Drosophila melanogaster: one gene and its partners. The protein of the gene in region 1 interacts with the protein of each later gene in a pairwise test. Each region holds a gene or a part of one and is shown on either strand. Other genes may lie near its edges. The genes, in order: row, Rhau, TwdlL and Drep1.

Evidence for each region.
Region 2: the proteins of row (region 1) and Rhau interact in a two-hybrid assay, tested with the Drosophila melanogaster proteins (one large-scale study listed by BioGRID).
Region 3: the proteins of row (region 1) and TwdlL interact in a two-hybrid assay, tested with the Drosophila melanogaster proteins (one large-scale study listed by BioGRID).
Region 4: the proteins of row (region 1) and Drep1 interact in a two-hybrid assay, tested with the Drosophila melanogaster proteins (one large-scale study listed by BioGRID).

The regions. Positions count from the first base shown.
Region 1 is NT_033778.4:15,207,622-15,215,209, forward strand, and holds the start of row (relative of woc), read right to left. Parts: upstream 6,014-7,588; 5' UTR 5,869-6,013; coding exon 4,986-5,868; intron 4,935-4,985; coding exon 4,105-4,934; intron 4,047-4,104; coding exon 3,956-4,046; coding exon of another isoform or gene 3,951-3,955; exon of another isoform or gene 3,624-3,950; intron 3,448-3,623; coding exon 2,624-3,447; intron 2,559-2,623; coding exon 2,191-2,558; intron 2,166-2,190; coding exon of another isoform or gene 372-2,165; intron 179-371; coding exon 1-178. Other genes in the region: Ir51b (ionotropic receptor 51b), read left to right, coding at 372-2,165; CG8093 (uncharacterized protein), read right to left, coding at 6,711-7,588.
Region 2 is NT_033779.5:20,754,074-20,759,647, forward strand, and holds Rhau (RHAU helicase), read right to left. Parts: upstream 3,913-5,574; 5' UTR 3,710-3,912; coding exon 1,869-3,709; intron 1,808-1,868; coding exon 1,415-1,807; intron 1,361-1,414; coding exon 1,247-1,360; intron 1,193-1,246; coding exon 920-1,192; intron 865-919; coding exon 736-864; intron 678-735; coding exon 599-677; 3' UTR 506-598; downstream 1-505. Other genes in the region: Ns4 (nucleostemin 4), read left to right, coding at 1-292, 358-485.
Region 3 is NT_033777.3:26,624,087-26,627,632, forward strand, and holds TwdlL (TweedleL), read right to left. Parts: upstream 1,567-3,546; 5' UTR 1,517-1,566; coding exon 1,502-1,516; exon of another isoform or gene 1,438-1,501; coding exon 595-1,437; 3' UTR 501-594; downstream 1-500. Other genes in the region: TwdlO (TweedleO), read right to left, coding at 1,922-2,611.
Region 4 is NT_033778.4:12,042,693-12,050,646, reverse strand, and holds Drep1 (DNA fragmentation factor-related protein 1), read right to left. Parts: upstream 6,036-7,954; 5' UTR 5,784-6,035; coding exon 5,739-5,783; intron 2,672-5,738; coding exon 2,456-2,671; intron 2,173-2,455; coding exon 1,901-2,172; intron 1,843-1,900; coding exon 1,482-1,842; coding exon of another isoform or gene 1,455-1,481; 3' UTR 475-1,454; downstream 1-474.

The DNA of each region.
Region 1 (7,588 bases):
CAAGTGCTGAGCCATCTTGTTGCCGTTGCCGGTGGCAAAGCCGCAGATGCAGTGCATCTCCTGTGGCATATTCACTTCCATGGCGTCCACAAAGTTTCCATTACATTCCACGCCATGACGGAATTGCGCTCGCTCGCAACATGTCTGATAATTGCACTTAACGCAGTGTAGCCAACCACTGGGAAAAGATTTAATATAAAAAAGTGATTAAATGAGTGCGTAGAGCGCCAAAACCTTTTATTACAAATTATTGCCTCACACATTCTAATGAGTTTTCCCCAAGAGATCAATCAGCCACTATTAAATCAATTAGCTGCTGACTTATAAACCTCAACCCGCGGTTCTGGCTTGTCACAATTGAATCAACCACCATGTGCAAAGTGTTAACCTTATTGGTCGTTATTTTATTACTGGCGCTAACAAACGCTGCTTACAATGTGACATTGTTGAAATCCGTTCTAAGTCTCATCTCTACACGGGAGCCGTGGATAAATACACCAATATTCGTCGGACATAATACGCAAGGAGGCGACCTCAACGACTTGATTATTTGGCTCCATCAAACAATGGGAGTTACTAGCTTGACAATGAATTTATTTCTCCAACCTGAACATATAAGACCCCTTGGTCATTTTAAAATCACTAGATACAATGGCATAGCTTTGTTCTTTTGTCATGATAAACATGATATCATGTGGCTTACTCTGGATAGAAATCTACGAAAACTCCGTCGCATTCGATTGATCATCATTCTGCGTAATCAAAGAAGTGGCTCGCAAGGTGCTATTAAATCAATATTCAACGCCTTATGGCAATATCAATTCCTCAACGTTCTTGTCCTGCAAAGGGATCAGCTTTATTCCTACACTCCGTATCCGGCGATGCGTTTTTTCAAACTCGATATTCATACGGAACCGCTATTTCCACATGCAGCAAGGAATTTCCATGGATATGTAGTATCCACTCCGGCGGAAAATGATATTCCGAGAGTGTTTCATGTGCACGATCCATTAACGAAGAGCAGAAAGGTGCTGGGATACGCATATCGCACATTCGTGGAATATTTGGATCACTATAATGCCTCGCTGCGTTTGACCAATCCAGATGAGAATCTAGACCCAACAACTAGTGTGAATATGAACCACATTGTGCAGTTGATTATAGACGGTCAATTGGAAATCTCTTTGCACCCGTACGTTTTCACACCCCCAACAGCAACCAAGAGTTACCCCTTACTAATATATCCAAACTGCTTGATTGTGCCCATGAGAAATGAGATTCCAAGGCACATGTACCTATTGCGACCATTCCAATTGTACAGCTGGTATATTCTGTTATTCGCAGTTTTCTACATCACTGGAATTCTCTATTGCATAAGCCCGAAACTCAATAAAAGTTCTTGGCCGCAACGCTTGGGATTGAATTTTCTAGATGCGATAAGCAAGATACTTTTTATCAGCCCCCCTATAACAATTTACAGACCAACATGGCGCCATTTGATTATTTTCCTACAACTTTCAGTCCTGGGATTCATGTCCACAAGTTGGTACAACATTGAGTTGGACAGCTTCTTCACAACCATAGTAGTGGGCGAGCAAGTAAATAGCATGGATCAGCTTGTCCACCAGCAGCAAAGGGTGCTCGTCAAGGAGTATGAAATTAACACATTTCTGCGCCATGTTGAACCTCGATTAGTGGAAAAAGTATCTCGGCTTTTGGTGCCTGTAAATGCCAGTGAACAGGTGTCCGCTTTGCTGAGTTTTAATCGCAGCTTCGCGTACCCTTTTACAGAAGAACGTTGGCAGTTTTTTGCCATGCAACAGCAATATGCCTTTAAGCCGATTTTTCGCTTTTCATCTGCTTGCTTGGGATCTCCACATATTGGCTATCCAATGCGCGTTGACAGCCACTTGGAGACATCCCTTAACCATTTCATATTGAAGATTCAGGATACTGGACTGCTGAATCACTGGGTAGTTTCCGACTTTAACGATGCCATGCGTGCTGGATACGTTAGGTTTGTAGATAACGTCCTGGGCTATCAAAGTATCGATGTGGATACTTTGAGACTGGGCTGGTGTGTCTTGGGAATTGGTTGGATACTGTCAGCTCTGGTTTTCTCTTGTGAATACTGGCACCTTTATCCATGGCGATTTATTGCTTAGGTAAATAAAATATTTTTGAACTTACGTGTAATGTGTCTCCTCGCTGGCGAAATCGGTGTTGCACTCGGCACAGGTCTTACCCTCCAGAAAAGCAAAGAATACTGGCCGCTTGTAGGTGGAGAACGGCGGCTGCTCGCGGTGATGGGTGCGAATCTTTGGCGGTGGTATCAACATCGAGTTGTTGAGTAAGAGACGCACCGGTCTATTGGTCTTAGTCATGCTCACATGATGCTGCACTGCGTGCTGCTTTAGATCCCCCTTCTCGAGGAAGGATAGCGAGCATTTCTGGCAGCGCAGCGAGGGATCACGCTTGTTGATGTGCTCGTCCAAATGCATGAAGTAATGTTCTATGCGCAGCTGGTTAACGACGCCAAGCTTTGAGAAGTAGAAAATCTAAAAAGAATCAGTTTTTAATAGAGAGAACTTTACAAGATTACTTTACCATGACAGCTACTTACATCCAAGCAATAGGGGCACTGTAAAAAGTTTTGATGCTTGTGGTCGTCATAAAAATGCCTGACCAAATCGCGGTGCGAAGATGATCGATAGCCGCAGGAGTGACACCAATATGGTAGTTCCAGGGTGCTGTGGACCTTCTGCAAATGAGCCGTCAACAGATGCAGGGAATTGTGACGCTGCTGGCATATTAGGCAGTAGTACGAGGGTGAACCCTCCGTTTTTGTCTCAGTTGGATGCATGATCTGGTTGTGTTTGGCCAAAACCGACTCGGTGGGATGCTTCTCCAAGCAAAAAAGGCACTGGAACTGGTGCTGCTTACCCTCTGGCGAAATATGCGATACTAAATGCGTTTGGAGTTTCTCATTGGAATCGAAGGAGTCGCCGTTCAGGCAGATTGGACACTCCACGGTCTTGGCCAGTTCGTTGTGAACCGTACGGGGTGTGCTATATGGAAAGATCTCGTGGTACTCGTCCGTACCATCACTTATTCCATAGTACAGCTCCTCCAAGCCCCTTAGATCATCCTCTTCTTTCTTAATGACCATTGGAATCTTTTCATCTTTTTCTTTCGGTTTTTTACCAAGGCCTTTAGCTATCAGAGATTTAGACAGTGATTTAGATGACGAGGTCGTTGCTCTGTCTCCTTTTGTCTGGTTGGTACTGCCCGGCGGCCGACCTGGACCCTTTTTAATTGGCAATTGAGGTGGTGGGGTGCCTAATGCATTCGGTGGACGGCCGCGCTTGACTCCAGATGATGCTATATCACGATCCTTTTCCTTCTTGGGAATCTTGTTAGAAACAACGTAGTCAGCATCGTTGATAGCTGCAATTGAAGATGTTAACTTAAAAAGATGTAATCTCAACATACAAACTTAAACATTACATATTTGTCCATTTTTGTTGAATCTGGTGGAATGGGTCCAATCAATTTAATTAGTAAATTCTTTCTTGCGTTTTATCACTCCAAATGAAAAAGGAAATCAAATAAAAACAGTTATTAAATTTCTTGCAAGTTTATTTATGGTTTCTCTAATGGGGTTGTTTTAAAATAATTAGACACGAGAAATGTCAGGAAGTAATGCTTAAATTGTACATATGTGAATATATCAATGATACATTTCACCTATATAGATTATATAAATTCACAATTCACATAACACAATAAGTGGACCTGAGCTCAGCTGTTGGGTTCGATTAACCAAAACTAATCAAACAAAACGAAAACATTTCAGTTTGGAGTGAGAAACGCAGGCACTTAACAGATTATCATAACGCACTATTCTATTCACGGCCTAAATAAAAACTTGCTACAAAAGTACGATAGTACTAACGTTTCTTGAGGCGCTTGGGAGCAGCATTGGCAGGTGTCTCCTTGTAGTTGGCCGGCAAAATACTCCAGTCCTTGAACGGATTGGTTGCCACCTAAACGAAAGAGCTATTAAAGGCTAATCGCTAATAAAAATTTTTCGATTCTGCTTACCTGATACAGACGCTGAGTGATTGTCTCATTGGTGGTTACTCTTGTCTGCTCGGCAATGTGTATTATGATATTGTTGAATGCCTGCAAGGCATATGTACCAAAGGACTCTCGCCATACCAACTCGTCGAGGAATTGTTGAATCATCTGGCGAGATAGCAACGATAGGGTGTTCTGGAACATGCGCGGCACAATCCGTCGCAAATATTCCATTACCGCTGAGTTGTTGTGCTTGGCTGTGTTGTCAGTGGCAGCTGCTTGGACAATATTTTTGAATCCCATGCTGAAGAGGGTGATCTTGTCGACAGTCAAGTCTATACAAATGGTGCTGTCCTTGTGCACCCAGCGCGACAGTGGCTCAAGAATGGCCTGGAATCGCTTTTTGTAGTTACGATCACCATCGGTGATTGGCTCTACAGCCCGCAGTCGGATGGACTTCTCCGCATAATCATAGACGCCCAGAACCTCAACTTTCACTTGTCGCTGGGAGCCATCTTGGGATGTGGTTCCTAGGGAAATAACACCCACCTCCACAAACTTGCCGGGACCGCCCAGCTTCTTGCATTTTTGATGCACTGCCAAAGTGCAAATGGCTCTAAGCCAGGTGTAGATTCCTTTGATATAAACACTGTCCACCTTAACCCACTGCACCACATTTTGAATACTGGTCTGGCAAGCCCAGTGGTAAATTAACTTCAACAGGAATGTGGGTGGGTGCTGAGCTCCTTCGAAAATGGAATTGTTGAACACGGAGACGAAGCGGTAGGGGCAACATTCGCTGATCCACACATAGCCACCAGTGTAGGGAAACTTGGTCACATCCGAATAAATTCCTAAATATAAATACATTAATAAACGAATTCAGTTGATCATATATCTCTTACCCAATTTGAGCTCGTTGTTGCGATGGTTTATGCAATGCTGTTGAGCGCGTAGCAATCCCTCCTGGAGCAGCCACTCGCAGAATTTATTGGGCGTAAGCATGAGCACCAGCTTAACCTTCGAGTCCAGCTTGCTGCGGGTGGCAGCCATGTCTTTGATCTTGAGAAAAGGCTTTGCTAGCACCACCAGAGATGGATATGTCTTTCCTTGCATCTTGTTATCCTTGCCATCCTTGCCGTCTTTGCTATCCTTGCTTTCGTCGGTGCTGCCCACCACCAGACCGCCCACCGAATTAACCTCGGCGGGGCGGTAGTTCTTCGGCGGCGATTCGATGTCCGGTTTGGATTCCTTAAATAGTTTTCCACTGCTCTTAGGTACCGGTGAAGAAGATCCTCCACTAGCAGCGGATGCAGCCTTCTTACTGGATTTCGGGGTGAACGAGGAAGATGCATTGGCCACGGCCACTGCTTTTTTGCCTGCAGACAGCGCCAGTCGCTTGGCCAGCGGCATATCGTCGTCTCCCTCATCGGAGGACTCCAGGTAGGCGATGTTGGATGGTTGTCGTGGTGGGCGGCCACGACCCCGCCCTGTGCCACCGCTTTGGGCGGCGGGTGTTGAGGGAGAGTCCGTCGGCTTGGGTGGTTTTTTGGGCAGCGTAGCCTCCTTGAGCTCCTGCAGCACTTTGCCCTTAAAGGAGTAGGCCTGGAACACCTGGCCGTTAAACAGCTCCTTGCCCTCGTTGGCGCTAACCGCGTTCTTTAGTGCACCCTTCACCGCGTTGTGCTCGTTAGTAATCTTCTCGTAGTACGCCAATTGTGCCGGCGACAGCTCCTCCACCCAGAACTCCATGTCCAGGGAGATTTCACTTCTCGTTACGCGCGTCATCTTACAGCTAACTAGTTAACCGACCACTGGCCCAGCGAGGGCGTTGTTTTTAAAAATATTAAGAGCTAAGTAAATTTTTTTTCGCTCGAATTAGCTTTCCTTGCGTGGATGTACCTGCTCGAGTAAATAACATCGATGAAAACATCGATAATATCGGCTTGGGTATTGTCGTGACACACGCACAGTGGTGCACCACACATCGGTTCGTTAAAATATAAACAAATATAAATCAAATTTTTGTATTTAAAAAAAAGTGTTAACGTAAACTGGTCAATTTTATATTCTGCTAATAAGAACAAGAATAAAATTTTTTTACAATTAAGGAATATCATAACAAGAATTGATTTAACGTATAAATAAATGCCATGAATATATTTTCCCACCTAAATATACATTACAGATATTTTTTACTATGATCAGTATGTTGCGGACTATCGACTACCACAAAAAACGCTGAAAGTCTATCGATGATTTTACAAGATGCTTCATCCCTGAAAGTTGGCGCGCAATTCAAACTAAGAGTGCAAAATATTTCTCAACAGTACACAATCAGCAAATAAAATAAAAATATCTAGTACAGCTTATATTTTATTATATTACACTTAATATAATCCATTGTATTTAGCAGGTGCACTTATAAGGCAAAAAATGTTAGCAGGCTAGTTCGTTTTGCGTTGTTCAGTCACCGTGAAGTGTCACCAAATCAATTTGAATTTATGACCACTCGTATATTATCGGTTCATTAGCTACCAAAAGCCCCCGTTGAAGTGGTGACCAATGGAACTTTTTTTATCACAATGTCACAAAAACGTATGTCGCTTTTTTTTATTTCCAGCGCACATTTATGCATTATTTATGTCGTTAATTACCCGATCATAAAGAATTTCTTTAATATTCAGTCCCCACAGAAAGTCGATATGATTCCACTTTTCTTCCGGCATGCGATATGCGCTTTTCAGGGCGCTCGGGTTCATGGTATACCTAAGGCGATCCACGTCAATCAGACTAGCAAAGTAGTCGTTGTCAGAGTAATAGAGATAGGTGGGCACATCGATGCCCTCCACATCGTACTCCGGCGGGGTCTTGCTGCTGTACTCCTTCTTGTTGCGCGTAGATCCGTAGTCGAATTGCCGGAAGTATCCGGAATTGTACTCCTGCAGGTAGTGGAAGATCTGATTTACTGAGCATCCCGCCGGAGTGGTGGCCATAATATCTGGGAGCAGGGTCTCGTTGATATATGGCGAGTTCCAGCCGCCCAGCAGGAATAGGGTGTTGGTGCACATGAACTGTGAAATGGCCTCATCGCTGCAGAGGAGAGCCCCGAACAGGTTCATTAGCTGTGTATTTGGCAAAAATTCGGCGCTGCCGAAGAGCTCGACGAAGGCATTGGGCTGACCAAGCAGTGGTCCACCGACCGTGGCCAAAGGACTCTCCATATGCTCCATCCAGGCCACAGGAGCGAGCAAATGAGCAGATCGAATGCGACTCTTGAAGCGCGGAATCATAGAGTTGAGCACAAAAAAGGATGTGGTTCCTTGAGAGTGACCCACATACGTAAGTTGAGTCACATTTGTCCAGTAAAGGACGTAATCCATCATAGCGGGCAGATCATAGATTCCGATATCGTGCCACTCAAAATTCCAGAAGGGCTGCAGCAGCGGCGACTTGCTGGCGTGTCTTTTGGAGTAGGTGTTGCCTCTGGCATTACCCATCCACACAT
Region 2 (5,574 bases), on another chromosome or scaffold:
TACGATGAGTGGTCTGCGGTGGCCATCTCCGATGCTTGGGCATATAAGAGGGGATTCCTCACCGCCAAGGCAGCCAGGCCGGATCGCTACCGGGCCGCGAATCATATCCTTCGCATGTGCCTGGCCGGCCAACAGATGTTGGTATTGCAGTTTTATCCGCCCGGATTTGAGGAGCGACGTGAGCACTGGCTCCAACATCCCGATGTGGGGGAGGTCAAGAAGTACCAGCAAGTCGAATTAGATGAGCCGGAGAGCGAGACCAACGGCGACACATCATCCGTCTGCTCGGATAGTGAGTAGCTAACAAATTTGAAAACTAAAAACTAAACTAATTTTAAATAAACCCATCATTTTAAGCTGCCGACAGCGAGGATGAAGACGAGGACAGCTCCAATGACGAGACCAATGCTGATGAGGAGGAATGTGGCATCAGGGAAGACGCACCCAGGTCTCGGAACGTGTTTGCTCTGCTGGAGGACGATTAAAAGTTGCATTTACTGATTTTGTTATTGCATCACTAGTTTACACCTATAATTTATTATTACGCTATACAATGTTTTGCTAACAATAAACTACAACACCAAGCTATGGAGGCAGATTATATGTCATCGATTTCATCGGATGAAATATAGTCCTCGCCGAGTCTTTCGTCTAGCGAGAGAAGCAATTCGATGGCTCTGTGCGGAAATAAAAACGTAATTATTGTTGTTAAGTGAAACGTGGGTTAAGACTAACTTGATCAACTGCTTTTCATATCCGTTCTCCTCGATCGGGGCCGGATACAAAGCCTTTTTGAGCAGCAGTTTCTCCAAATTGCTTCTTAATTGTATGACTACGTCGGCAGTTTCACGATTGCATTTAAAGCTAAGTATGAAATAAGTTAAGTTTATCCTATTGAAGGAAGATATGTTATACCCACTAATATGTCTTGGCCACGCACAGATATGGCGTATTTTGGGTCACTCCCGCTTCCACGCCATCTCCGAAAATGATCAGTGCCATGGGAAAAACCATTGTGGAGTCGAGCAGGAAAAGATCGGTGGACTTCTGCCGCTGAAAGTAGACAAAGTATGCCGAGTCGAAGCCACTCTCTCCGCTGTTCACCGAGGAGGGATGAAAGTTAACGCGGCGTCCATCGTCCGTTGCCATGGTGTGGATAGCGCGTACTCTATTCTTGATCTGCCGTGATTTTCTGCATTAAATTGTGTATTAGTTATTGCCTCTATTGTTAATAGGTGGTGTCTACCGCAAGTGAGCCATGTTGGGATAGAGTCCCGCTCCTATAATGGCCCTCAGTAGGGGAATCTTCTCAGAATTCTTATTGGATGCAGCATCCTTGCAGTTTGACGATGCCAGAAATCTGAAATAAGGTAAGTAGCTTAGTTTACACAAGGCAGTCATAAAACGAACCTACTTGTAGTTGTAGAGCAGCTCACTGAACTGATTCTTCATCCTCTCCAACTGCTGCAGTGTCATGGAGCTGAGGAAATTCTTATAGCAGAAGTCTCGTTCCGCGTGCGAATAGCGGCTATCGCGGTACGCAATAATGGTATTGTGCACCATCAGGTGATCGCTCCGCATATTTCGGGCCATTCTCCGCTTGATTTCATCCACTCGGCTCTCTTTACCCAAAGGCGAGTAGAAGGGGGACTTAAAGGACAAGGCAGCCGCCGCCGAAGTGATGGGATCCAAGCAACAGAAGAGCGCCGACATCAGGATCATTTTTCCCATCTGCGGATCAATGGGCAGCTTTGCCAAGTGCATGCCCAGTGGAGTAAGGGTGCCCGTCTGGTCCAACGCCTCAATGCTGTTCAATAAGCGGGTTAAATTATAAGTGTGAAACGAAGGGGCCAAACTATTAAACCCACCGCTTTAGCAGTTCCACTCCCATCTTTATGGCCTCGGGATTGGGGGCATTAATAAGAGTTTGCAGGAACCGATACGGATCGTCGATGTGCAGTAGCTTGAGGCTTAAAATTATGGATTCCAGCTTGGAGCGTAGTATCTCCGGCGTCGGAATATCGTCCATGCGATCCTCTCTAGCGCGGGAGAACAGATTATAGCATATGCCCGGCCGCACTCGACCTGCCCTGCCTCTCCGCTGCTGGGTATTTGCTTTGGTCACCCAAACCTCATCCAGCGACTGTATGTTCGTTTCGATGTCATAGTTGGTGGCTTTCGTCCGGCCAGAGTTTATCACATAAACCACGTCGTCAATAGTCACCGACGTTTCGGCGATAATTGTAGAGATTATAACCTTACGCTGGCCCGCCGGTGGTCGCCTGAACACTGCCTGCTGTTCCCCTGACTGCATTAGGGAATGTAATGGAAATACGGCCATATGATCCCGCCACCTTTGGCCCTTCGAAGTCTTTGGTTTATCCAGAATATTGTACAGTTGGGAGATCTTATCATAACCAGGCAGGAACACTAATATGGCACCCTCTGGTTCGTTTTCGCATATGTAGTAAACCAAATCGGCTATAAAATCAATATCCTCGCAGCCCTCCGACTCCGGCAAACGCAGCTTGTCGAGCACACGACTATCGTACGAGTTCCTGATGCGTCGCAGATACGGTTCTATCATAGCCTCGTGCTTCATCCTGCGCTCAGGCGGATCCCGCTTGGGACGACGATCGCGGAACTTTTGGAACTCGTAGTTCGTCTTGGACAGAACATCCTCCAAGTAGAGCATCTTCACGGGAAACATCACGCCCTCGATGCGGAACATGGGACAGTTGTTAAAGTAGTCACAAAAATCCTGCTCCCGTACAGTTGCACTCATCAGGATCACCTTTAGATCGGGTCTGTGGGGCAGGATAACCTTTAGAAGACCCATTAGGAGATCTGTTTCCACGCTGCGTTCGTGGATCTCATCCAGGATTAAGACACTTAGATTGTGCATCAGTGGGTCCGATTGAAGCTGCTGCAGTAGAACGCCTGTGGTGCAGTAAGTGATGGAGGCTCTCTCCCTGGCCTTCCTGCTCTCTAGGCGAATCTGGTAGCCTACCGAATTGCCCAGGCTCTCGCAGCGCTCGTAACTCACCCACTCGGCAATGGCGATGGCTGAAATCCTTCGTGGCTGAGTGCAAATGATGCGGCACGACGAGGCACATCCGCGGGAAATGGCGTCGTCGAGGAGGATTTGAGGCACCTGAGTGGTCTTGCCACATCCAGTGCTTCCTACAATGAGTATTACTTGGTTTTCCCGCACAGCCTGGATAATATCGTCGGCGTATTTCATGGTGGGCAGTTTTTTCCGTGCTTCTAGCCGTTTCTTGGCATTCTCCTCCAACTGGCGTTGCCCCAGTTCCAGCTGCAGTCTCTCGTCCAGCTTGGGGTTTACCCAGTCTAAGTCCGCGTTCCGTTCCTTGGTCTCCGCAACGAATTCCTCAAAGTTTACACTCAAAAGATGGCGAAACTGTTGCTGAAATTTGGCATCCACATTTTTGTCATCCACATTTTGTCTGGACGGTGCCCGGCTGTAGTCCTCCATTAACTCCTTCACACGCTCAAGCACTCCACTGGGAGCACTGACATTGCAGCCCAAGCGGATTTGCGGCTCCTTTGATTCCGCATTCTCGCCTCTGTCCTTCTTTTGCTGCCGGGCAAGATTGCGATAGTACAAACCGATGTCCTTGCCCCTGAGACCCGGTGGGCGGTTGCCCTTGCGGGCGTTGGAGCCGGATGAGTCCCTATCGCGCTGCATCCTGTCCAATTTATATAAAAGAATTCAGAAGAAGAATTCCCAACCCGAAGTCAACAAAATTCATAGTGCTGTCGGACTGTCAAAATGCGCAAATCAGATAGACTAGGACTGCCAACTTAATTATATACACCTATTGTGTTACTTTAATAATTAATTTTCAAATATAAATATTTTATTCAAACAAAATTGGTTGCATTTAGAACACGAAGCAAAATAAAATGAAAATCATAAACAAAGTTTTAAAAATAAGTGAAAAACACCGGCTTGCTGCTTATTGTTTGGTTCGAATACAGGCTAAATCCCAAAAGTATATTTCCATAACCCTTGAAAATGAAGCGGTTTGATTGAGCGATCCCGCTGCGGTCACACTAATTTCGATCAACTCAACGCGCTGAGTAAATCGAACCGCTTGTGCTTAGAATTTGTTTTTTCGCAATTAACGGCCGTGAAGAGCCAGCGATCTGCATGCCAAGTGTCCAATAACTAGGCAGAACAGTGTTTGCGTTGCACAAAAGCCCGCTAGCGGAGTGTGTTCCATGTGTCATTCCCGGCAAAGGAGCAACAAGTGGCCGAAAGTGGAAAGCAAGAGCAACAACTAAATAAGTAAGGAGTACCACACTGCAAGAAAAAGTGTTCGGAGGGAACGGTGTGCACAGCTTGTCAGCTTGTTTTTTGTACAGAGCGTCGCGCAATAAAACAAACAAAAAGACATAGTCCAAAAACAACAACCACAACAAAAGCCGTTTGATCGCGAGTTTGTGTGCGTGTGCGAGTGTGGCTCTATTTGTGTGAGAGTGGCAAGCCATTATTTTTCTGGTCTTATGACGTAAACCACCGAAAAAAATCAAAAGTGAGCAGGCGACACAGATATCAAAACGAAGGTGAGCGCATTCTTACCAATTCTCGTTTCGTTTCTTGGAATTCCAGCGGTTATTAGACGGTTTTATACTTGTTTACATTTTCGCAGTTGCAGCACACAACTAATGCCAGAGCGGGAGCGAGAAAGACATATGTAGATCGTTCTGTGGAAGGAGTGTTGGTCGCGGAGGGTTGTGTTGTGATGTTGTGGAGGGGAGGGAAAGAGATGCAGTGCATGTAAACAAAATAGAGAAAGAGGCAATTGCAGTAAATTCTTTGGCAAAAGAAATCTTGTTGAAAGCATTTCCTCCGCAGATGCTTATGTGTACTGGCGACCTGAAAAGAAATTGTTGCCCTGCTTGAACTTGTCGCTCCACTCTCCACTACCCACCTCCTCGCCCCCTCCCTCGCACACTCCTCTGCCCACACACACACACACACACAACACTCCATTCACAATTGGCCTTTTGCGGAGTCATATATTAAATTTGATTTCTCTAGCCGAGCACTGTGAATGATTTGCCGCCAGTTGGCACGCCCGTTCGCCACACTGCAGAAAATACCAGGGCACATATATATCTATATCTATATATCTATTAAATTTATCCTTGCATGCCAAATATTGAAACGCAGCACTTTATAGCTCTCTTAGCTTAAAATGTAAATTTTACTCAATTTAAGAGCACTAATAACGAACGTTTATTTCATTTCCTAATCAAATCTTACAGTTTAAGTACTTTGTTTTCCGTGTAGCGAGCCAGAACCATCCGCAAAACCTGTTGCTCGTTTGCCTTTTTATTGGATTTTCTGTTTTCTACCTCTGCTGCTCAGCTGCTGCGATTCCGATTTCATTAGTGATTCATTAGATGCGTTGGACAAGCTAACGCAAAAAGCCAAAGCTTGTTCCCAACGCATCCTTCAATACAAGGCAATTCAAATGTTCAAACGCTAACGGCCAGCCTCTCAGCCTGGTCAAATGAATCACTCCATATTCTCCACATATTCTA
Region 3 (3,546 bases), on another chromosome or scaffold:
CCCCAGTTCATTGATTCTTTATTTTCGCATATATTACTAATGAAATAAAAAATTTAACTTGAGAGTGGTGAAAACGATATGTTTATATTTAATTTAACTTTTTTGTCGTAAAAACATTTTGCCTACATTTAAAATATGCGGAAATATTTTATTTTATTCTTTTCCCAGTACTTCGTAGGATAATATTTTGGTTATGACAAATATTAAACGTCAAGGTCATCGGGAAGCTGCCTTGGGTAATATAGCTTACCAAATTCTTAATGAGTTTTAAAGGTCTTTTGCTTTGTATTAAGTTAATAGCGTTGCACCTTTTTAAGAATAAATTCAAATTAAAAGTCATTACCAAACTTTTTGTGCAATAAAAACAGGTCGAAAAATCTCACCAAAGACTGAAATAATTTTCTAAAAGCCCAACTTGTAACTCCACTCATGTTGTCATCGGAAGGTATACACTATTGTTTACTACACCACCATCCAATATAAAATATCATAGAATGTTTGTATTCAGATTTTTGTATATTATTTATCAATAGATTTCAACAATAAGATTTAACAAGAACAGTCAACGCCTTCATCTCGAAGTCGTTAAAATATTTACAAACGACGACGGAAGATGGAAGTGGGCAGGTAAGCGTTCTCAGGGATCTGAGCATTAGCCTTCTGGACGGGACCAGCGGAGGCGAAGTTCAGGGCGGGTGCCACACCACCGTTGTGGGCCTGAGAGGATCCTCCCAATTGGTCGTACTGCGACTGGATGGCGCGCTGGGCGTTGGCAGCATCCTCGGGAGTGCGGTACTTGACGAAGTGCACCTCGGGCTTGTTGTTATTGTTGTTGCGGATGGCGTTCAGTTTCTGGGCAAGATCTCCAATATCGGCCTGCTTGTTCAGGACATAGATGGCGGTCTCCTGCTGGGCAGCCTGCTTGGCGAGGGCTAGGGCAGCGTTCTCCAGACCACGGTTCTCGGGTCCCTTGATGAAGACAACGCGCAGTCCCTTGTTTACGGATCCAGCAACACGCTCCAGTTCTTGTGGCTCATCGAAGTCCTGCTCGTTGGCGGAGTAGGTGAAGAACTCCTTCTGGAGCTCAGCAGCGGGAGCGGGGGCGTTGTAGGAGACTGGAGCGGCCAGAGCGTCGCCACCTCCTAGACCACCGAGTCCACCAAGACCGCCAAGACCGGAATCAATAGAGCCACCACCGATGGAACCACCAAGGGAACCACCTCCAATGGAACCGCCTCCGATAGAGCCACCACCAATGAGGCCTCCTCCAATGGATCCTCCTCCAATGGAGCCTCCTCCAATCGAACCACCTCCAATGGATCCACCTCCAATGCTGCCACTTCCAGGAGCAAAGGACAGTCCGGAGCTGGAGTGTCCCACGGGCTGGTAGTTGTAGCCGAGCTTATCGGCGCAGGCGACTGCCACCAGGCACATTACCTACAGGATTCAAGGGTTATCCGTTAGTTGTGAATTCGTCTTAAGTCCTGGCTACACCACTTACGATGAAGGCGCGCATCTTTAGTTTTGGGTTTGAGGTTCTCTTGGTTCGGAGCACAAATTGCTTCTGCCTATGACCACGGCGGCGGTAACTATATATACTAACCCAACTTCGAAGCTGGCGGCGCAGTTTTTCGAAGACAAAGCGCTGATGCTGCTAAATGTTTTGTCCGCCTACAAAGTAGGCAGCGAACGGCTTTTGTTCGGGCTCGCAGAGCAATTCAGCTTTGCATAAATGTTATTATAAGGAAAAGCTATTAAAAAACAAACAAATTGCAATGGCCGATGACAAAGTCAGAAACTTCGAAGATCTAGATTAAAAATAGATATATAAATCTAAGCGTATTTGTTTTTATCGATTTTCGTTTTTTATTCAATTACATTTATACAACACATTTAACAACTGTCGGTTTTCGTTCGGTCCTTAACGGATGCGCAGGCGACGCAGGATGTTGGCGGGCAGGTAGGAGTTGCTCGTGGCGGCGGCTGGTGGGGAGTAGTTGGGGCCACGACGAGCGGGAACCACGGGGGCAGCGGAGGCGAAGTTGATGGCGTTGGCAACTCCTCCGTTGATGGACTGGCTGGATCCTCCCAGGTTATCGTACTGCGACTGGATGGCACGCTGGGCATTGGCCGCATCCTCGGGAGTCCTGTACTTGACGAAGTGCACCTCAGGACGCTGGTTGGAGTTCTGGCGGGCGGCATTGAATTTCTGGGCCAGATCTCCAATGTCGGTCTGCTTGTTCAAGACATAGATGGCGGTCCTCTGCTCGGCAGCCTGCTTGGCGAGGGCCAGAGCAGCGTTCTCCAGGCCACGGTTTTCGGGTCCCTTGATGAAGACCACGCGGAGTCCCTTGTTCACGGAGCCGGCGATCTTCTGGGCGGCCAGAGGATCCTCGAACTGGCTCTCGTCAGCCTCGAAGGTGTAGTACTCCTTGTTCAGTTCGCTGGAGACCGAGTAGTCCGGGCTGCTGGCAGCACCATCGTAGGAGTCGCCAACACTGCTTCCGGAGTAACTGGGAACATTATCGGAGGCGGCTCCGGTAAATCCCGCTCCGTAGTTGTACTGGGCGCATGCGGCACCAATCAGGCAGAAAGCGATGAGGAAACGCATGGTGAAGGTTTGGTTTTGTAGGCTGGGTGTGCTTAACAGGCAAAGGCCAAGACTGAATCCTGAGACTGAGGTGAGCAGCTTATATACCCATCTGGCGTAGTTAGAACCGACTTAGAACTATAACCGACACCATTCCCGTCGGGTTGCTACATAACTCAACTAGTTTTTTATGCAAAGCGGTGCGCTTATGAAATGATTATGCAAACTATCCTAAAATTCTCGCCAATACATCCAGTCGGCGACCCCCGACTTTCTGCCCAATTGCAAAAGCCAAATTCTCGACCGGTTCATGGCGCCGCGATTTATTCTTGACCGGGGCAAAACTGCCCGGAATTCGATTGGGGAAAATGCTGCAAAACTATCAAACCCGTTTCCAAAAAAAAAGTCAGAGCCCGTCCAAAAATGTTCTGATGGTCATTAAAGTCGAACACAATGTGATGCATTCTTTGAGTTCCGCCTACGAAACGATAAAATCTTAATCTATGCGAACTCCATTGATAGTTAATGGTTTGTTGTTGCTTTCTGTTTGTCGCCTTTTTTGCTATCGAAAGTGGGTCTAGAATTTGAAGTGACTTTTTAGTTTGAGGTTCAAAGTCAAAAAGAATGTCGGAAGCTTGCTTTGAACTCTGGGCAAACCTGTTTTAAATAGTCTGGGAATTCCATACAAGTCCCGTATATAAGAGCCAGAATATTTGCGTCCAGTCAGTTTAAAATCTCATTTAAACGGAGAAGAAGAACGTACAAGCAATCAAACAATATGAAAAATGCTGTGTTTGGATAGAAGGATATCATCATCAAAAGTTCTGCTGATACTTTTCTGTAATCCATACAAAATAATCGTTTGATAGTGTTTTGTCATCTTAAGCTAAGCGAATGAAAGTGAAGGGTTTTAACGTTAAATTTTATTTTCCTTATTTTTGAAAACTATAAATTTT
Region 4 (7,954 bases), 3.2 Mb from region 1:
ATGGGAACCGAAAAAGGGATGTGCTGTGTTAGTAGGGGATATTGAGTATGCAAAGGCCACAGGACGCTGGATTCAATTCATCAAAGCCAGGGCCACGCCCACAAAGAGACCCTTGCTGTGGGGCGCTGTCGTCACGAATTTGGGTCACCCGGGAGCTTTGAACTGTGTTAGTAGGCCATCGCAATCAGCTAGCCAGGACCTGCAAACGTCATGGTGCAGTGACGTCACGAAGGAAGTTGAATGGCAAAAGAGAATGGCGTCGAGTAATGCAATTATATGGCAGCAGCAGGTGTAGGACTCCCACTCTCTTGCTCTCTCGAACTGGAAAAAAGGGAAATGGAAGAAGCGGTGAAGGAAGGGGAAACTCTCTTTTGCCAGCGGAAGAGCAGGATGCAGTCCATACGCCCTGTTGCACACGCTTTGTGCGTTGCGCATACGCCCCGTTTGCCAGTTATGCTAGTTCAATCAACTTTAGTTTAATAATCATTTATTTATTACTTGGTTTCGTGTATATAGTTTGCCTCGGGGTTTTCACTTGCATTTACTGTATGCTTTTCACTATATTTAATAATTGTTCACTGTTTGCATTCGGTTTTAGATTTCGTTTACGTTTACGGTTTCCCTTATTGCTTATTCGAATTGTAGACAGTTACAGTTACCAACTTTGATTGGGCAATTGCAATTTGCGTTATTGTGTTCCATTATTGTTTAATTAGCTAACAATGTTTGCGCTGTCGCTTAAATTCATTTGGCTATGGATTCGGGGGCGGGAAGACGGGGATTCTGGGAGGACAGGGCAGCAGCGCTGGAGGCTTCCATCCGATCTTTCCCGAACCGCTCAAACCACGAAAAAACCTATTACACATAAATTCAGTCAGTCTCAATTGGCCTTTAACGAATGACATTCACAATGGCATTGGTCTAAAAACAATATTTGATGTGCGTTTCCACTCTACCTACTATTCGTAACACAATTTACACGGTAAGCAAATCAACAGTTTCCTGGGACAACTCCATCCAATTGGGGTTCGCTCTGGTTGTGGGATTCTACCTCAAGTATAATACTTATTTCGCTAACCTTTGATTATTATTCATCTAGTACGGCTTGGTGTGACTCGTGTATATGCGGTTAAATACGATTCCGCTGACTGTGATTGCTAAAAGACTTTTCAAATCTGCGCGGGCCTCTTGTTCTCTTGAGCCTCGTGACCCGGTGTTTAAATCTAGTACGTGTATTGTTCGTTAACTTTCATTTGCTCTTAGATACTATGAAGCATTTTCAATGACTTGATTTCGTCTCCGTTTCGTTTTTGCTGATTTCGCAGTGCCTAATTACATGCTACAAATACGATTTATGTTAACCCAATGTTGCAGGACTGATGTCTTCGGTATATCCTTTTGGCTCTTGATTTTGATTGGCGCACCCAGTTGCGTTAGTTTTCCGCCGGCAGACTTTACCTAAGACTGCCCAAAATGGGCAGTCAGATGTCGCCGTTGGCATTTGGATTTCTATTTGGATTGGCATTGGCCTCATTGGCAGCCGCTTCGGCAGCGGAGGATCCCATCGCTCCACTGGCTGTGGCGCAAGTGGTGGTGGCCTCGCCCACCGTAATTGTTATCGTCGTGTTTTGATTGTCGCACTGCACCACCTCGATGGTGCGGGTGTTGCTCGTCGTTGTGGTGCTCATCTGTCCACTCTCCGCCTCGTTCAACTGCCGTCCAATCTCCCGGTCAATGGCCTCCGCATCCTCGGGATAACGTTCCGAGCAGAAAATGGCACCAGCTTTCAATAGCTTCAGCAGATTTAAACGATCCTCGGCATTCCGCTTGGCACACAATGGCCTAAAGTCATGAAATCATGCTACAATTAAGTGGTATATGGGAAAGGAATTAAACTCACCTTCCCGCATCCTTGAGCTGCTCCATAAACTCCTTTCCCGTGATGTCCACCAACGAGTTGGGATCCATGTTGGAGAGTGAGTCCAGATCGGCATCGTTCATCACGGACACGTTGCAGAGGTTGTTCTGCAGCTGGCCCACCAACTGGCGGATGCGAGCCGACTCCGAGTTGTTGGCATCGGTGGTGTCGCCCTCGCCTCCTCCGTTCAGCTCTCCGTTTCCAGTTCCTGCCTCGTTGCCATGTGGAGTGGTTATCGTCACGTAGTGAGTGGGCTATAAACAGAGTGCAGATAGCATTTAATTTAATCTTCCTGGCTTTGGTCCCATGCTCATGGAGCTCTTTCATGGCATTCAAGAAATAATGCAATTAGTCATTATGGCAGATAAAAGGAGGGACACATAAAATGAGCTATCCAATTAAGCGGTGTTCACTTTGAGAAATGAAAATTACACAATCGCAAAACGAATTTATTGAGGTGATTTAAATAAAAAAGGTGCTGATATAATTATTTTTAAGTGCCTGTTTTCCTTTTCCTTTTATTTAAGGGCTACTCACATCGATCCAATGTTCTCCGGGAAAGACGGCCACCAGTTCCGTATTCTCGTCGAGGGTGCGAAAGTACTCCTCATCATCGATCTCCGTGCCGTCGGAGTCCAGGTGGATGGTGGGCAGGTGGTCGCACTTCTCGAACTTCTCCGCCACCTTGCTGCGGATCTCCTCCAGACTGGAGGCGCAGACAGCCTTCTTAATGTTGCGTGTTACGTCCTTGACCTGGCCATAAAAACGCAGAAGGACAGTGCCGGGAAAAGGGAATAATAAACCATTACACGTTTGCAATTACGGAGACAGTAGCAGTTACACATGGCCCCGCTCATCAAATGAATAATAAATTAATGTCAGATGGGAAACAACTGAGGTCCTATAAAATATTCACATCGTCGGCACCCAAAATAAGAAAACGGAAAAACATCGAAATGGGAAAAGTTGTAAATTTTCCTTTAGCTGCACCCTTTTTCTTGAGACAACAACGTGAACGGAATGGAGAAACTATGGAAACTTTCCGCCTGATTTATTCATTATCCTCCCGCTTGCACTTAATTATTCAGTCTGTTTCTCTTTTCAACGCAAACTTTACCCTGTTTTTATAGTTATTTAATTAGGCAATCTTTGAAAATTCCATTAAACAAAGAGAAAAGATAAATAGTAGCGCAAGTTGCTAAATAATAAATACACAACCACATTTCGACGCTGATTGTTTTCCATTCCCCGAAAAATCGCAATGAATAAATGAACGCAATATTTGCGACCACGTCATGTCCTGCTGTCAAATGTCCATTTGCTCTAATTGAGATTTATGGACGGCTTTTTCCCGGTGGGGGATGTCACCACCTTAAAGTGCCTCCCACAGCCCGACGACTTTGTGCATATTTCAGTTGCGAATGCCGAGTTCCATGAGCTCCTCTACTTTTGCTCGAGATCTCGAACGCAGTTTGACATGCACTCTAGCAGCTGCGGTGCAAATATTTGTCGTTTATCTCCCACTCCCCGATTCCCTGGCGTATCCTTTTAAATTTTCTTTTTATTTGACAAGTTATGCATGTCAGCATTCTTCATGCTGCATGCTCCTTCGCGAATGCCATAGGTTAGTGCTGTTCGCCGGTTGCAAGGACGAAGGACGCAAGCCTTTGGCTCTATTAAACTTGCATGCGATGTTAAATGATGCCTCAGCACTAAGGTTAAACGAAACATAAATTAGACCCGTCCAGATGGAGGCTCAAGGAGGCGCAACTTTAAGGGAGCAAGCGGCACGAATGCATTCCACCCAGAATTTATAGCCCCGAAACGTCGGACAGCGTGCAACTCCTTGAGGTCCTTCATGAATATTTGAGAGCACCGTGACTAAATGAAATTGTACTCGAGTTTGCATTTCGAACATTTCATTTTACTCGTGCGCCTAGCTGCTCTATCATCCCAATTCCATTTGCTCAGATAGCGGAGGAGGTCGTCCCTAAATTATCTTATAAATACTTAAAGCCACATAACTTTTGTGCCGCGAAAGCTCCAAATATTAATCATATCATGAATGCGGCGTGTGGGGCTAGAACTTTGTAACAATGAAAACTTTGCCCAACTACTGGCGCATTTGACAAGTGGGAGTCGCGGCAGCATCGAAAACAAAAGCATAGTTTTTGTTCGGAAACTTGTCAAAAGTTTTAGTCGATCGCATTAGTTGATTTTTCAAGTGGCGTCGATTTTTCAAGCGGTCGCAATTCAATTAGCAGTTTATCTAATTACCCGCAAAATTATACAAAGCTTATACAAATCAGAAACAAGATTTATTCGGAAAGTAAACATGTTTCAAAAGTGTTTCAAGTTGTTTCTTGAATGGAAATGCTATTAGGTTATATCATTAAGAGCAAATTTTTGGCACATCGTGGTAAGTAAAACTTTATTTTTTAATATTTAAATATAAGAATAATATTTAAATATTGAAATGAGCAAACACAAATGTTACCTACTTGCTACTGTTTAAGATACAAATTTCCAAACTAGCATCACTACAAGTTCAGGCTAATGTATGTGAAAGTCTAGATGAAATCAGTTAAGTGTTTTTCTAGAAGACCAGTTTATACACAAAAGTGTATGCAAAACGACTTGGGCAAATTGGTAGAGCAGCAGCGAGTTGAGGGCTTATAAATCTCAACTAACTCGAGCTGCTCAGCCATCAGGACCCGAGGGTCCTGGTCCACACATACGTACGTAGATGAACGTGCAACGACCTCCGGCGTCTGGCTCCGTTTTAGGAGCAGCCGAAGGAGACGTGCCAGGAACTCTATCATCTGCATCCAAGATGCGGGCAGAATCCACAAGTCGCAGGACATTTTAATATTTGATGGGCGTAGGCCGCAGATTTTCGAGTCGCTGGGGAAATTAGGCGACAACTTTAAATTGCTTTTGAACTATGCCGCGGCATTATGTAGATTGTTTAATAAATTATTAACAAAATGCCTGAGGCGGGTCGTGGGCGTGGCTGTTGGCTAATTACAGCGACATGTCGGGATGAAAAGTTTTCCCTTTTTAATGGCATTTTCATGGCTGTCATGGTATTTGACAGCTTTTAAGCCGATTTGCGTTTGGTGGTTTTTGAATTAAATATTTTAATAAGGAGCGGCATTTTAATGGATAAAGTGGGGGAGGGAATTCCTGGATGTTATCTCCAGTCATGTTTTACGAAAGTTGTTTTCTGTGTTTCACAGACAATTTAAATAGCTTTGTGGTTTATTGGTTTCCTTTGAGTTGTCAGCTGCATGTACTTCCAGTGGTTTTCTGCAACCTTAAGCACGTTTTTTACATCCCCATAATACTTTAAACAGCTTTCTGCTGTTTAAGCGGCAGATAAACAAATTAAACAGGAAACAATGGCCCAGCAGTCAAGTAAAACAAATGCTAAAGGCAAACAATTCCCAATACTCGAATCAAAAGGCAAATGCAAAGCTAGACAAACATGTAAAAAAAAGGACAAAGAGAAAGAAAGCAACTAAATAGTGTTTTTGAATTTGCAAAGTCAAATTTCAGGCAGTTAATGCTTATTACTGAGCTTTCGGCACTCTCTTAGCTTGAGCTTTTGGCTCTCTTGAGTTCTGAAGTTCAACCCAGTTTCCATAAGAATCCAAAAAAAAAGGAAAAAAAGTAGCGAACGCAGCACGCGGCCAACAACAACAAAGGCGAAAACAACAACGCCCAAAAATGGACATGCCAGGAAAATAATGCATGCACTTAAAATGCAATTGTTCGTCTGCGGCCTTTATTTCCATTTACAATTACAGGGGGAACTCACTTTGAAAGGCTTTTTGGAGTCGCCCGAGTTCGCTGCAGTCTCCATGGCTTTGTTTGCTCCAACTAAATTACTTATTCACTATGCACTTTATTTCCAGGCTTAATTGCTCCACATTAAATGACTTTTCTATAGATTTGATTACTTTTCGCTTGCTTCTTGCACTTGCACTCGGCGTCCGAACAAACAAACTTGGAATTTCCTTCCACAAGCTGCACTTCAAATGGGAATTAACAATATTTTCTCGGCTCCGCAGCGGAGCTTTCGTTGCGATGAGCACCGGTTTTGAAATGAGCGCGTTTTGCTCAAAAGCACTGCCTTTTATACGCAGAGAAAGGGCTTCTAACAGATGTTGAGTTCGAACTGCGAGTGCTCGCTTTTAAATGAATGTTAACTGATAGGTTCAAATAATATTTGTTTTATGTCCTATTGGCCATGTTTCTTTTTAATCATGATAAGTAAACATATTTTTGAAGCCTAACACTTTTTTTTTTTATATTTTTTTTTTTATAAATTATTCCCTGTAGATTTTGGTTATTTAATTAATTAATATTGTATCAATTTTTTGTAAAATAGGTAATAATGTGCTTCTAAAAGAAAACACTAAACAGATTAGAATTTTAAATATATTGAAACATAAAGCTTACAAAGAGAAAACAAACATAGTCAAAAACACGTTCTCTCTCGCTGAATATGTTAACATTTGGCTGTGGCCTAGTCCCTAGAAAACACAAAGAGTTTGCTGGAACAATCCTGGCTGAAAAGTTAAGGTGATTCCAGCAATCTAATCTCTATTTCCATCGGAAGGTGCTTTCGGATTCAATTAGTCCATTGGGAGGGGTTGCGCATTATCAGCCCAATGATATCCGGTGTTGTCAATTCGAAATCCCCTCGCCCGCTTGGAACCCGGCCAAAAGAGCAGTTGGACTACGCTTAACTTTCTACACAAGTGGCCAACACCCATTTAAATCTATATACATCTATTGCCATGCACACATCAACGAACCGTCCAGATAAGAAGAGCAAAAAGCAAACTTTTGACAAATGGCCAAAATACATGAAAGGAAAGCCAAAGCCGGAAGGTGGCCCCAGATTGGGTTCTCATCAGTTTGTGCACGGCGAAAAATAAAGATTCTGTTATGATACTAAAAACTAATAAAAACTATAACTTATTGCATACTTATCAGCGCCTAATTGAGCAAATGGATTCCATAAAGGATAAAGGTATGTAGGTATAAATAGGAATGAGTAGTTTTCTTTTAGTCATACGAATATCAACTAACTTTATATAATTCTCAAAAGTTTTTCCACGTATAAAACGGTACTGAATAGCCCGGAAAAGAGGTGGGCATGCAAGTATGGGGGAGATCAGAGATGGGGCAGCCTTAAATTGTCATCCTAGTGCGCACCATTGGTTCCTCGGATGCTGATGCTGCTTCTGCTGCTGGCAGTTTGCCCCGTTTGCTGTCATTGCACTGCACATAGTAACTTCTACGTGTCCTGCGGAGGAGAAGCAGCAGTGGGTGGTAGCTGTGACTATTTTAAGCGCAGGTCACTCGAAAGGACGCACAAGGACATTGGCTTGTGTGGGTGGCTGTGTCGCCTGCAGTTCGCAGGTCACGTGCATGCACCGCGGTGCATTGACCACGGACACGTTGACACATCGGCCGGAATCTGGGTTGAGCTCCACCTCGAAGCCAGGTGACAGGTAATTGCCTCACGGGCAATCAGGCAATAGGCAATATCGAGGGAAAACAATAAATCAACGCCTGGCGATATTGGTTTTACTAAGAAGCATCAAGCCGCTCGAGAATGTTTAGTTTAACTGAGCCAAAAAACAAAATACACATAAGATAGAGGATTATAAGGACAAAGAGCAAACAAAGAAACAGAATAACAAAAAACATTTCATCTTAACAACTTAATCTTTTGTCCAGACACAGACGTTTTAAATTCGGCCAAAAGGGCAGACACAACTAATTATCCTTTGCGCAATAAAAAAAAAGGATAACATAAGCGATTTAACACGGCTCAGTCCTTTTCAGTAACAGCTTGCGTCTGCCTGTTAACGAACAGAAAGCTGATATGCAAAAGGACCTCGTTAAAATTCAAGAGGACTTTCTTTCGCTGACTTCGTTTGAACCTCTTCATTTTGACATTTGCAGCTCGCGGTCATGGAAACTTAATGAATGCGTAGGATTTTTGCCCTTGCCAGAGTT